Linked DNA regions of Caenorhabditis elegans. The protein of the gene in region 2 purifies or fractionates together with the protein of the main gene of each other region. This does not show direct contact. Each region holds a gene or a part of one and is shown on either strand. Other genes may lie near its edges.

Region 1 (5,691 bases), on a different chromosome or scaffold from region 2:
GTGTAAAAGGTTAGCAAAAGGTTTCTTATACTAGACTGCATTCCAGCTACTGGTCTTATCCCGAACAACGCTTCCACTTCATTATCACCATTCCCGCGCACTTTCCCCGGTGTTATTTACTTTTTTCTCAACGATCAGGTTTATATACATATTTTTTAAAGTTTCGTTAATGTTAATCGCTTAACATATTGCATTTGATGCTCATTGGTCGACAAAAGTTTTGCAAGTAGTGTACATTACTCAACAAATATTATTTGTTTGTTGTTTTTCTTTTTGACTAATTAATTCCTCTGGAAGTTTTCTCCGCTGAGTAGCAAGAAATTAATTTACTCTCTCAGCAGAATGATTATGGAATTATGGAATTTTCAGCGTTATTACTCGAGATAAACATGTGTCAAAACAGAGATCTAACGAAAGCCGGATCCCATGTGATTTTCAATTCTTGTTATTCACACATGCACCTTAGTTGTTCCAGACCATTCCCACATATCAAAACAGAATATACTATATTATTCATTTTTTGATAACCTGTAACAGAGAGTCATAATCATAAACAACTGGATGAATAGAAACCACTTGGTTCTGGTGTTCACTGGGGGAGAAGGTAGGGAAGGGGAATTAAATTAATTGGGTTGCGTCCCGGTTATCGTTCATAAATACTGCTGATAAGGATCTTGGTAATAAATAAATAAAAAGTGTCTTGGTCTCAGAGTGTGATTCTAGTTTGGATCGTAGCACAAAGCAACTCTCGGTAGGGATCTCGATTGTCTCGGACTCGAACCATCATTTGGTAGGCGGACTGAAAAATTGAAGTATACTGAAGAAGTGGATTTCTTTTTAATATTTCAATTTAAGAAAAAAAAACGTATTTGCTAAGCGTCCGTCAACGGCTCTCCAGTACAATAGCCATCGCGTTTACCTTATGGTCAGTACCCACCAAGTCATAGTGAATCATTCGGAACAGATTCGTAAACAACTTTGTTGGATCAATCTCGAATTCGATAACCTGACGTCCCGGAGTCACCGGACATGACGGGTTGTCGTCACACATATCATAGTTGCTCCTTAAAAAAACATTCAATGTTTTTCGGTGTTCTGCAAAGAAAACAACTTACAACAGCCCAAAGCTTGGTAAAAACATCCACCCACATCCGAACCATCCGGTTGAACGTTTAAAGATTGACACTTCGACGCCCAAATTGTCATATCGTTTGTTAGAATTACTGGTGATGTCGAGGAAAATTCGAATAGGCGAGTTGAAGGAAACCGGGTAGGTATCATCACCGTTGCCGTTTGTAATTGCACCGCCGTGAAGTTCAAACTTTGTGTCTACAATTTTTGGTATTTAGGGCTCTGTTTTACTAGAAGTACTGTACCTTCTTTACACTGGAAAAACGACGGACGAACTCGTGTTCGATTCGGAAGAGCAACGCATTCTTCTTCTTGTTCTAGAGAAGAATCTGCCATAAGGTATGGAGCATCCGGTGCAACTTCAGGGTCATCAGTGTTATCTTCGTTCGAGCCAGCTACTTCTGCAGCTTGATTACTGGCATCTTGATGGCTACCAAAGTTTTTGAAAGATCGAAAACGAGCAGGCTAAAAAATAAACTAAATCAAAACAAACACAAGTAAACAAAAAAATACCACTTCTTTTTTAATTTCAGCGCTATCTTGCTCAAATTCTTCTAAACTTGCAAAAACAAAAGGGAATATTAAGAATAGTAGAATAAAACGGAAATTCATCGTTAACAGAATTTTTGTTGAAATCTTCACTTGGAAACTTTTTTGGAACTGGCCGCAACCTGGGTGTATCGAATGTTTAGAATAAAACACAGATGAGTGCAAATTGAATAGAGCACTCGACGCACGAAAAGGTGCGGGTTGGTTTTTGAATTGCCTCAGGTGCTAGCGGGAGGTCGACGGGTGCGCTCTGTTCTGCTGTTTTCTGTGCTTTATATACCTGACCGTCTTTTTTTGTAGAGCGCCCAACATGTGGGGCGTTCTTGAAAGTCCGACAAAAACGCGATTCGCACCTGGTTCCAAAGCTCCGCCAAATCACTCGAGAGCCCGCATTTGTCGCTCGATCAATTTCTAATTAGAGCAAATGGTGAAGCACTCGAGATTGCCATTTTTGGCATTTGAAGATTTGCTCATTGCTTTCTAGACGGCTCTCTTCCTCACTCTTGACAAGTTTTTATCAGACACTCGTCACAGAAATGGTCTGCTTATTTCCATGGGACAGTGCAAACACAGAGCACAAAATAAAAACAGAAAAATAACAGAGTTTCTTTATTGGAAAAAAATGAGGGGGATGGAGAAAAGAATAGCTTGCATGAAATACATGTTTCGATTAGAATCATGAAAGTCAGAAAAAAACCACAGAACAAAATTGCTGATATTACCAAAGAAAAATTAAATTCGACACATATAAAGCTACACGATGTGGACGATGCGATCACTGGGCCAAAACCGAAATGATCTTAGATCATGGTATGAACAAGGAATTATTGTGCTCAATGGAATGATGGAATAAAAAGTGAAATAAAAACAATCTCGATTCCCTTTGAAAAGGTGACATTGAACAATTGAATTGCTATAAAATGATGTGAAAGTGAAACAAGTTATGATTTGAATATTTAGAAAACATGGAAATTTAATGAAACTTTAACTATTATCCGTATACGATGACTGATCATCGATTGCATGGGCCAATGCAGCCGCCCGAAGGGAGTCAAAATTTTCAGCCCCTGATTGAGCAGCCATTCTTGAAAACAGCGAGCTCTGATCATCCAGCAAAGTGATCGGTTTGTCAAACTCGACGAGCTCTCCTTTTTCAAACACCTGCAAGTTGCGAACCTAGGCATTGTTTGCTTGTTGAGAAACCACTTACCATTACATTATCGCTGTTCATAATGGTGTGAAGACGGTGGGCCACCGTGATGATTGTGGCGTTTTTGAAAAAGTCTCGAATTGTTTTCTGGATGCAAGCATCTGTCACTCCATCAACATTTGCGGTTGCTTCATCAATAACAAGAATTTTGGATCGGTGGATCATTGCTCGGGCAAGACAGAAAAGTTGACGCTGACCGACAGACAGGCTGACTCCCCGTTGGCCCAATTCGACGTTCAATCCTTTTTCTTTTGTGATGGAACGTTTAAGCTCACACTGAAAATTTTTTCAACGATTATCCTACAGAATCTATTAAAAATTTCGATTTCATATGAATTTCGGAATCTCGTATTAAATTAGACCGTTGGATCAGATTTAGGCACACATAGGACAAAACTAGGGCTACGGTGAGGTGAAGTTTGAACTTGGTTAAAATATGAGAAAAAGTTGGATCAGACTTGGGAGGGGTCATGTCCAAGTCTTCCTCAAGTCTTGCTTATGTCTTGTCCAAGTCTTGCTCAATCTTTGCCCAGTCAACATTTTACTTTTTCAATAAAATTTGTAAAGCCAATGGTGTTAAAACAAGATTATAGGGGCCATAAAAATGGCTTATAAAAATTTCATTCTCACATGTTATTCTTCAATAAATTAAAGCCATACCTGCTCTAACGCAAACCAAATAGTAGCATCATCATACTCATCGAACGGGTCCAAATTCTCCCGGACCGTTCCTGAAAAGATTACGGGCTCCTGCGGAATGATAGACATTCCTCCTCTTCTGAAGTTAAGACTAATGTGATCCAGATCCACACCGTCGATAGTGACACGTCCAGAGCAGTACTCTTTCAGTCCAAAAATAATTTTAATGAGTGTTGATTTACCAGCACCAGTTCGGCCGACGACTCCAATCTAAGTTTCAGAAGTAATACTCTGAACAAAAAGTTAGTAACTCACCTTTTGTCCACCTAAAACAACAAAGCTAAGATTTTTGAGTACTTTGGTCTCCCCATAATTGACAGATACATTTTCAAACTCGATTTCTCCTTTCGTTGGCCAAGAGTTCAGTAGCTGTTTATCGAGGTATGCATCATGTGGTCTTCTGGCTTCTTCTTCAGATTTCAATTTGGTGTACTCTAGCACTCGTTCCACGGAAACCATCTGCAAATCGACAGTTTGAATTCAATCCGCATACTACTATGTTTGTATTGTCTTCATTTGCAACATTTGCTGTGTTCACATTGTATTCATTTAGAATAAAAGACCGAATTGAGAGTTTCGGGTGGGTCGCTCATTTGGCGCCACCATGACAAACATTCCATTTGTGTTTGTTGTGATGTGTGTGTGTGTGTGTGTGTGGAAAATGCGACAAACCACTTCAATCGTCTGATCAGGGCAGTTCGCGCTTGAGCATTGTCCAAAACTCTTTATAATCATGATGTTTCGCCAACCGCATAGTGAGCTCAATTCGACCTTTGATGGCGGAGCAGGAGGAGGAGAAGGGGGAGCAAATTGGAGGAATCTCCCGCGATAAAAAAAGAAACAAGCAAAAAATAAACTCACCCCGTTCTCCAGCTCGGCGCTTTGCCGCATGATCCACGAGAAGAATCCACTCAACTGAACCGCGCACACAAGGCACAATCCGACTTCTCCGACGGTCAGGGTTTCTAAAAATCTCGGAGTGTTGTTTTGAAATAAGATACGATGGACGCGGTGGATAAACGTTACTGTGTTGACTTACCATATTGAAGAACAACAACAATCGCCACAATGGAAACGAAAACAGACACCAAAAAGTCGATGCAAATTCCGAACCAACGGGCGGACAAAAGTCCCATGTTGTACGCGGCCATATAAACATCCTGTGAAAAGGTCAAATTTTAAAATAGTTCGTTCGAGAAATGGGCTCTGGCGTTAGGGAGGGGGGTCTTACCTAGGTGTTTTTAGGGGGTATTTCCTATAGGGTGGGTCTTAGAGGATCTTTTCTAGGTTGTCGTTTCCACTCTTCTAGGAGATTTTAGGGGTTCTTCTTTCTAAGAAAAATTCTTAGGGTTTTTCCGAGTAGTGTTTTAGGATAGGATGTCGTTCTTGTAGTCACTAATGGCCTTGAGCAACGTTAAAATCAGCTAAATTTAGTATTCCGATCAGGGATGTGCGGCGAAAAAACCTTTGACTTGCTCTGAGCTCAATCGGGCTCGACTTAACATAGATTAGTAAATTTTTAACATTCTCAAAAGTTTGGCAATATATTAAAATTGTACTTTGTAAAATAAAATGTATTCGAAACTTACATGAAGAGCGCAAAACTTTTCAATCATCTCGTTTTCTTTTCGGTATGCTCGAATAGTCGACAAACCATGGACAGTAGATGTAATAGTAGTGTTCAGTGGAGACCGAGCTGAAATATTCAAAACTGTTTTGTTTTCAAGAACCGCGAAGTAATGCTTACCGGCTGCCTCAATTCTCTTCAATTCCCGTGAACGATGAACGTACATTTTCCTACAGAAGTAGAACCCTGCAGTTATGAACGCGCAGGCAAGAATGACAATAGGTCTGACCATGGAGACTAATCCAACTATTCCCACAAATGTCAACGTACCCTGTAAACAAAGTTGAAGTTTGTTAAGATAATCAATAAATTATTGATAAACTTACAAAAACAAATTCAAAGTACGTGAACGCAAGCAAGTCATCAGTGAGGCCTATGTCTTTTGAAAAGCGATTCAGAATCATTCCTAAAACCAACAATGTTCTAAAGACCCTAGCCTGCCTAGACCCTAGCCTTACCTTCAGAATTTTTGTCG
Region 2 (7,611 bases):
ATTTGGAAATCATTTAGAATGGAGTAACTGGACGAGTCTCCAACCACTTCTTGATGTTGGCATTCGAGTGAACCTTTTCCTGATGAGCCTTGAATTGTGGGAATTCATCGAGAAGAGCTGCGTTGGCAGCCAGAAGATCAGCAGTGTGCTGAGCGACGAGCAAGTCGACAAAGGTCAAAGAGTCTCCAACCAAGTATCCGGATCCAGCCGACTTGAGGAAGTTAGCAAAGAATCCATAGTGCTTCTTGAATCCTGGAAGGAAGACGTCCTTGGCAAGAGCATCGAGATCTCCTTCAGCAAATCCCATCTTCACCATGAAGTATGGACGAACTTCGTTGAGGTAATCCTTGAATTGATCAGCAACCGAGTTGACTTGAGCCTCCTCCCATGCACACTTTCCATTGATTCCGAACTGACGAGCCAAGTAACGGGCGATAGCATGAGATTGGGCAAGAACCTTTCCGTCAACTTCAAGGAGTGGAAGCTGTCCGAATGGAGTGCCTGAAAAATAATATAATTAAAACCTAAAGTTCAAAGTTTTCTTTGAGTAAACAATCATTGACTCCAAACTTCTATCTCTCAGTCATACCAAGCACTTTGTTTACATCTCTAGGTGTCAAACTGCCTAGAGTTTAGCCTTGAATTTTTTTTTCCTTTTTCAAGGTCTATTCATTCGAACACCGAAATTTCAATAACTTTCAAAAAGTAACTCAATAACAACTTCAATCTACTCTAAAGGCAAAAAGGCAATTTGTGTGACCTAGTTAATAGGAACAGGAAAGGTAAGGAATATACCGTACCTGCTACTTTAACGGCTTACATCTCGGTTCTCTTAACTTTTATCAAAAAATGTTTAACTGACAATATTTAAAAGTATATTCTTCACGTATTTTGTCAGTCAAAATTTTTTTGATAAAACCAAAGACAGCTTAACTAAAAGCCTGCAACTATTTCTAAAATGAATTTTTAATTTGGAACTACTTATAAGATTTCAACTAACAATTTCAATATCTATGCACCTATTCAAACAATAATTTTCAATCCCAAACTCACTTGGCTTGACAGCTGGCCATTCCTCCTTTGGGATTCTGTTGTCCTCGAAGTCTTGTCCAGCGTAGGCCAAGATCTGACGAGCAATCTCTCCAGCTCCACGAATTGGGAAGTACGATACCTTGTAGTGGACCATTGTTGAAATAACCAAGCAAGAAATCGAGTGGTCGATGAGAAGGGTTGAACACTGAATGCCGGCCGTCTCTATTTATACCCATTTCTCAAATGTCTGTCGTCTCTCCACTCACCATATTCTGTAGTTTGTCATCATTTGCTCTACACATTGCGCGCACGTTGTTGACTAGAAATCATAAAGTGTAGTCATCGTTTTTTGTTGTTGCAATGTTACGATGAACAGAGTAGGTCAAAATAATATTGGTTGAAAAAAATATATGCAAGGTTTTGTGACTTTTCCAGATCTTTCGAAGGGAATGTTGTGTCACAATTTGTGACTACTCACAAATATAAACCCATGGCATCAATCATCTTGTTACGCTTGCCATTATTATTGAAGATACCATGATAAGAAACTACTATAACTGACACAAAAAGTCACAAAAAATATTTTTTTTTGTTTCTGAAATTTTTCCGACAGTACAACACAATTTCATAATCTCGCGCAAAAGAGGCGTAGGCATTTACCGCAGCCTACGTGCCTGCCTACAGCCTAATTTCTGGGAAGGTGCCTGATGAACAATGATTTCCTATGGAATTTGTCTTTGAAATAATTTAAGTCTCACTTTGAAACACAAACGTGCTTTCTTTTGAGGGTTATACACCTGCCTTTGAAAAGACTATCCTCCAAAAATAAATAAAAGATTACATATTTATTGTGCCCACCGAAATTTGAAAATTCTTATTATGTTCATGTTCCAGAAAACGACGCTTTTGTAATTTTTGACAATAAAAGTCAAATTAACATTATGACGTGATTGGTTTTGTGCTTTGAACATTGTGTCTCACCAGGGAATGTTCGGAAAGTTTTAGCTATGATGGTAAACCACAAAGGAAGGCGGTGTAGGTCTGATTTGTACCTAAAAGCATGCCTACTTCCCAGGCTTTTGTAAATATCCTGTATATTTCAACACTCTTGCAATGCAAAAAGCTTCTATAGAAACATCCTGCTGAAAACTTTACCATAAAATTTTTAAAAGAACAATTCATTCAAGATATTTTAGAAACATCGATTTCCATTAAAACAAATTAGCAAAAAATTGCTTCTTGAAATATGAATTAAAAAATAATACAAAATTGCAAACTCATTTCAATTTAGAATGGGTAATCTGGACGGTTTGCAATATACTTCTGAATTCTGTCGATGCTCTGAACCTTCTTACGATGTGCCAAAACCTTCTTGAACTCCTCAACAACTGCCAAATCTTTATCCAAAATATCTTGAACGTGCTGCGAAATCAAAAGATCCACCCATGTCAAAGAGTTTCCAACAAAGAAACCACTGTGATTAGATGCCAGAATGTTCTCGAAAAACTCGAAATTCTTTTTGAAAGCTGGAACAAAAACATCAGTTCTCAGTTGATCCTTGTCTCCAGGTTTGAATCCAGCAAGAACTGTTAAATATGGGGAGACATCGTTGAGATAATCCTTGAATTGATCAGCAATTGCATCCACTTCTGCCGCCTCGGTGTCATTTTGTCCAGCAATTCCGAACTCTCTGGCCAAGTACCGAGCAATTGCATATGACTGTCCCAATGGTTTTCCATCGACTTCCAAAATTGGCAATTGACCGAATGGAGTGTCTAGAAATTTGAAATTTGAGGAGAAGTGTTTTAAAATAAAATCTAATCTTAATTTTAAAAAAGTATGAAGGTCTTAGAAAATTTTTCGGATTAGTTCGATCTCCAGGAGCGACTTTTCCACAGTGTCCAAGATGTTGTCAGAAAGCACAATTCCATAAAAAGTTTCAAGCATCAAGTTTTCCTCGTACCTACAACCTTTTTTCTGAACTTCTGACTGATCACCCTAAATCAGGAAATAAAAAAAACAATCAGAAGCATAATCCCAATTTGCAAAGTGATTTTTTTAAAGTATTGAATCATGGAATACTGTTCTAGTTCGGATGTGAAAAGTTAGAGAACTTTTGTTTGCAATTATCTACAATTTAAAAAATAAACAAATACCGAAATGTATGAAACGTAGTTTTCAAGTTTTGAAACCATTTATCTTTGCCAAAAGTGTATAAACTCACTATTTTTGCGTGCTGGCCATTGTTCAAAGCTCAGATTCTCCTCGGAATAATCCTGTCCTGCATAGGCAAAGATTTGTCGAGCAATTTCAGCACGGGCTCTTAATGGGAAGTAGACGAGCTTGTAGTGAACCATTTCGTGAAATTTTTTCCTACAAAATGAATGTGAATTATCATCAAATACTGGGTTATTCTTATCATTTTTTGTGTGCTCTACTATCATTATTTACTTTTCAATATATGACTGAAGATATTTGATGACAAAACCAAAACTTGAGAGCACAGCGTTTTTCGGATCACTTTCAAGATTGACTATAGTATGATCAACCGTGATTTCAGAAATCAAAAAGGCTTTGAGAGGATAATTAATTTTAAAGCTTTATGGGGAATATACAGTCTGTTACTTCTTGATATCATGTCAATTCTTGATAATTTCTTTTTTGGAAAGACCTGAAATTAAGAAAAAAACACATAATTGCTTACTTATTAAAATAGATTTAGGAACATTTATAGGATGCGTACAATTTCGCCGATTAAAATTGAAATTCTGAAATTTTGGTAATTTCTGATTTCCGGCAAAATGCCGGTTTACCGTTATTGCCGGTTTCCCGTTTTTTTGCCGTAAAAAAACATTTGCCGCTCACACCTGAAGTGCCTTAGAGTTGCATTTCTTTTCCTATACTTTCATATTTTCAAAGTTCCAATCTTGGTATACATCACACTCAACGGACCAAATAACTTCCTAAAATCGCTAAACTGAGCATCTTCAAACTGGCGTATCTCGAAAAATACAAGTCTGAAAAACAATTTTTAACTAACAAAATGATCAGAAACATTTGTTCTTTCTATTACATTAATTTGTATATCAACAACTTTTTGTAGAGTTACACAGAGTCAAAGCCATTTTTCCAAAATTCAAAGAAAAATTTGAGAACTCTTTTGTTGTACCCTTTATAACTCAATATTCATTGAATTTCAAAAGATAAATTTTGTTAAGTAGTAAGTGAAAAATATTTCTCCACATTTTATCCGTTTTAAGTTTTTCGATATTTTCATGTTCCGCCAAGTTATAGACCGTTTTCTGAAAAAATCCAATCTCCGTCATAAAAATCTTCATATCCAACGTATCGACTTGAAATTTTGAAAAATGATCATTTTTTTGAGGTTTCTACAATGTCCTAGAAAATCTTTCAAAAATGTGGGCTCATCTCCAAAATCGTCCTCCGCTCCAAAATAAGAAATGGGACTTTTGCTTTTCGAAAAATGAGCGGAAAAATGAAATTGCGATTTTTGGGTCGAAAAAAATATTTTTAGAAAGCTGAGAACACGCTATTTACGAATTTCATGTTCATTTTAAGTGATTTCTTCTCTGAAACGACCTAAAAATTCTCTGTGCAACTCTGCAAATAATTAGTTTTTTGCAGTGAAAAGTAATGCAAATAAAAGTAAAAATATTTTGAATCATTTTGTTAGTTAGCAATTTTTGCTCAAGACTTGTATTTTTCCAGATACGGCAGCTTGAAGTTACGCAATTTAGTGGGTTTAGAAAATTAAGTTGACCACCGAGGCTTCCACTTTTGCTGGCAAGTTTATCCGTTTTGCAATTCAATTTTTTCAAATCTGCGATATTAGTAGAATTTTTGATTAATTGTTATTATCGTGAATATAGCAAAAAAGTGAACATTCACATTTTTGTGAAACTATTTTTTTGGAAATTTACTCTTGCTGGTATGACTATACCTTGTTTTCAGATATCATTAACTTTTTATTCTCATTCCATTTCTGTCTCACTCATTTTCATTTTCAATCCTTTTCTCTCTTTTTCCATCACTTTTTCGTTTTTCATCGTCGGACGGACGAGAGACCTCACCAAGTACCACACCACAACAGGCAGCAGTTTATTAGCAAGTTTCTCACGTCTCTCGTTTTCAGGAAACGTTGGAAAATGGAAGAATGATGAAAGAAGAAGATGAAGAAAGCCCTGTCATTGGTTATGGTTCTTTTTTGAGAAAACGGTTATTTGCGGCTTGATTGATATCGCTTTTCATTGGCAGAATGAAAAATGAGGAGAATTTTTGAATAATTAATGGGAAGTTAGTGTCAATTTTTACAGTTGTGCCCACTTGAAATATAACATATTTTTTAGTATCTATCCTGTTTTTATATCGACAAAGAATTTAGGCTAGTTTTTGTAAAAACCCATATTGAAAATTTTAAACAAAACACCTACTCGTTGGGTTAGTTAGTTAGCCTTGATATATAGTTTAAGCTTGTCTTGAATTCTCCGAAAAATTACAAGCTGGCACTACTTTTGGCAATTTTTGGCAACCTTTCAGGTTTGTGTACAGATATTTCTGAAATATCTAGACACTTAACGAATGTTGTAATTGAACATTACACGTATTCGGATCTGCAAAAGACAACATTTTGATTGTTAAAAATTATGATTTCAGTTTCTAGCAAGTTGGAATAGAGATACTATTTACTAGAAATGTTTAAAATAGTAAGGAACTAGTACTGACTTCTTGATCTTCCGGAATCTGTAACTTTTTTCAACGCCCGATTTCTGCGAATGTGGAAATTTTTATCTGAAAATTTAGAAGCTCCAGTTGTTCGCTAAAGTTTATTATGGAGGTACAAAATTTCAAAAAAGGGTCCGATTGAGCTATTGTCTGAATTGCCTGGAATATTTCCAAGTTTTTCTTGTCATAAAAATTATGTTTTAGAAAAAATGCCAATTGAATAAAAAATGCAAAAATAAATATACTTCAATCTAAAGTTCGTCAACTATTTTATAGCGAGATCAATCTAGACCGAAATACGTACGAGCACCGCCTTATGCGAAACCGCAAAGTTTCAAAGGGGAGAAGAGCCGGAACTTGTAGAAAATCATTCCAATGGTTCTAAAATAAACAATTAATTTTCTATTTGCAGTGATAAAGTCTAGATTACTCAATGTCACCACTCATAAGTTTGGAAGCCTATTAAAAAAACTAGTTTTTCTACGAGTTGTACATATACTCTAATTTTTTTCGAATTACTTGGATTAGTAAACTGTAGGTGTTAAAGCATGTAAAATTGCTTTAAATTTTTCAGTGAGCACAAAGTGTTGGTTAATTGATTTATTAACCAAAACTGTGACTAAAAACTTTCCAAAACTTTAACTGGAAATTTTCAAGAATCTAAAACGTATGTATTTTATTATGCCATTTCGTTCTTCTGTATTTTTTGAGTTTTAAACATAATCCCTATTAAACTAGTTCCGGCAGCTCGAAACGTTTGTGTCTTCTGTAGAATCTTTAGAATCTCTAGAATCTTATCTCAAGCTTGCACTTGTTCCTTAAAATTTCTCACGTACCTAAGAAAGCAACTCTATCAATCCAATCCCCTCTCTCTCTCTCTCTTTAAAATGTTGCTAGTCACATCTCGCTTAGCGGCCAGTAAATCAATGAGCGCGATTTGTGATCGTCTCTTTTTTCGCTTTTTATTCTTCAAACGGAACGAAATCACCCATGTTCATCTTTCCCTCATTTCGACACCCATAGCTGCCAATTTTTGAGGTTTTAGCGTTTCAAACGCTACCAATCTTACAAAAAATCGCGATTTACACAACCTGAAAATGTTGAACCAGGAAGATTTTAAAATTGATTTTTTGAACGAAGGAACCGTTCAGTATGTTATCATTTTTTTAATCAATTTTAACAATATCAGAACGTTTTGCTGAGAGTGTCAGTGTCCTTCGAGAACTTTCACTTTTCAATAAATGAGAGGGAAAGTACAAAAAACAAACAGAGAGAGAGATAAAAACGAGAAAATCGGTTTAGGTTCATCGGGTCGTTTGGAAGGACAATAAGGAGATATCATTAACATCACTGATTTGAAATAGCTTAGATATTCTAATGATAATGTTATTAGACGGGATAAAATACCTTTAATTTAGATTTATTATTTAGTGAAATTTATATATTTTCAATTGGAAAATTGTATTTTCTGAAACTCTCATAATTTTCAGTTGTTGTAACGCAAAGATCTGAAATTTCAGATGCTTTCCTGAAAAAAAAAACGAATTTTTTCTATGAATTTCTAGATTCAAAAAATCCATTACTCAAAAAATCTCATATTCACTGTGGGCGTTCTAGTAGAAAAATGCACTGAATTTCACTTAGGTACAACAGTGACCGCTCGTGCATTAAAGTAACAAAGGATTTTTTTTGAAATGTTTTGTCTTAATTGAGCTTTCACCAAGTTACCTGTACTTATACGAGAAAATAGGCATTGTAGGCAAGAAGGCAGGCAGAAGGTAGGCACGCACGGTCGCTTTTTGGTTTTTTTATTTCTATAGATTTTCGATGAGTATA

Evidence for each region. The genes of interacting proteins can lie anywhere in the genome.
Region 1: the proteins of gst-6 (region 2) and ZK470.6 fractionate together in Caenorhabditis elegans (co-fractionation; one large-scale study listed by BioGRID). This does not show direct contact.

Annotation. Positions count from the first base shown.
Region 1 is NC_003284.9:4,175,565-4,181,255, forward strand, and holds ZK470.6 (MD-2-related lipid-recognition domain-containing protein), read right to left. Parts: upstream 1,744-5,691; coding exon 1,645-1,743; intron 1,597-1,644; coding exon 1,377-1,596; intron 1,330-1,376; coding exon 1,116-1,329; intron 1,065-1,115; coding exon 920-1,064; intron 800-919; coding exon 707-799; 3' UTR 501-706; downstream 1-500. Other genes in the region: mrp-6 (Multidrug resistance-associated protein lethal(2)03659), read right to left, coding at 2,665-2,841, 2,891-3,166, 3,551-3,799, 3,845-4,048, 4,451-4,554, 4,629-4,749, 5,179-5,285, 5,337-5,487 and 2 more.
Region 2 is NC_003280.10:4,875,694-4,883,304, reverse strand, and holds gst-6 (putative glutathione S-transferase 6), read right to left. Parts: upstream 3,415-7,611; 5' UTR 3,390-3,414; coding exon 3,257-3,389; intron 2,808-3,256; coding exon 2,320-2,807; 3' UTR 2,200-2,319; downstream 1-2,199. Other genes in the region: gst-7 (putative glutathione S-transferase 7), read right to left, coding at 14-501, 1,054-1,186. UniProt on the Caenorhabditis elegans protein: Conjugation of reduced glutathione to a wide number of exogenous and endogenous hydrophobic electrophiles.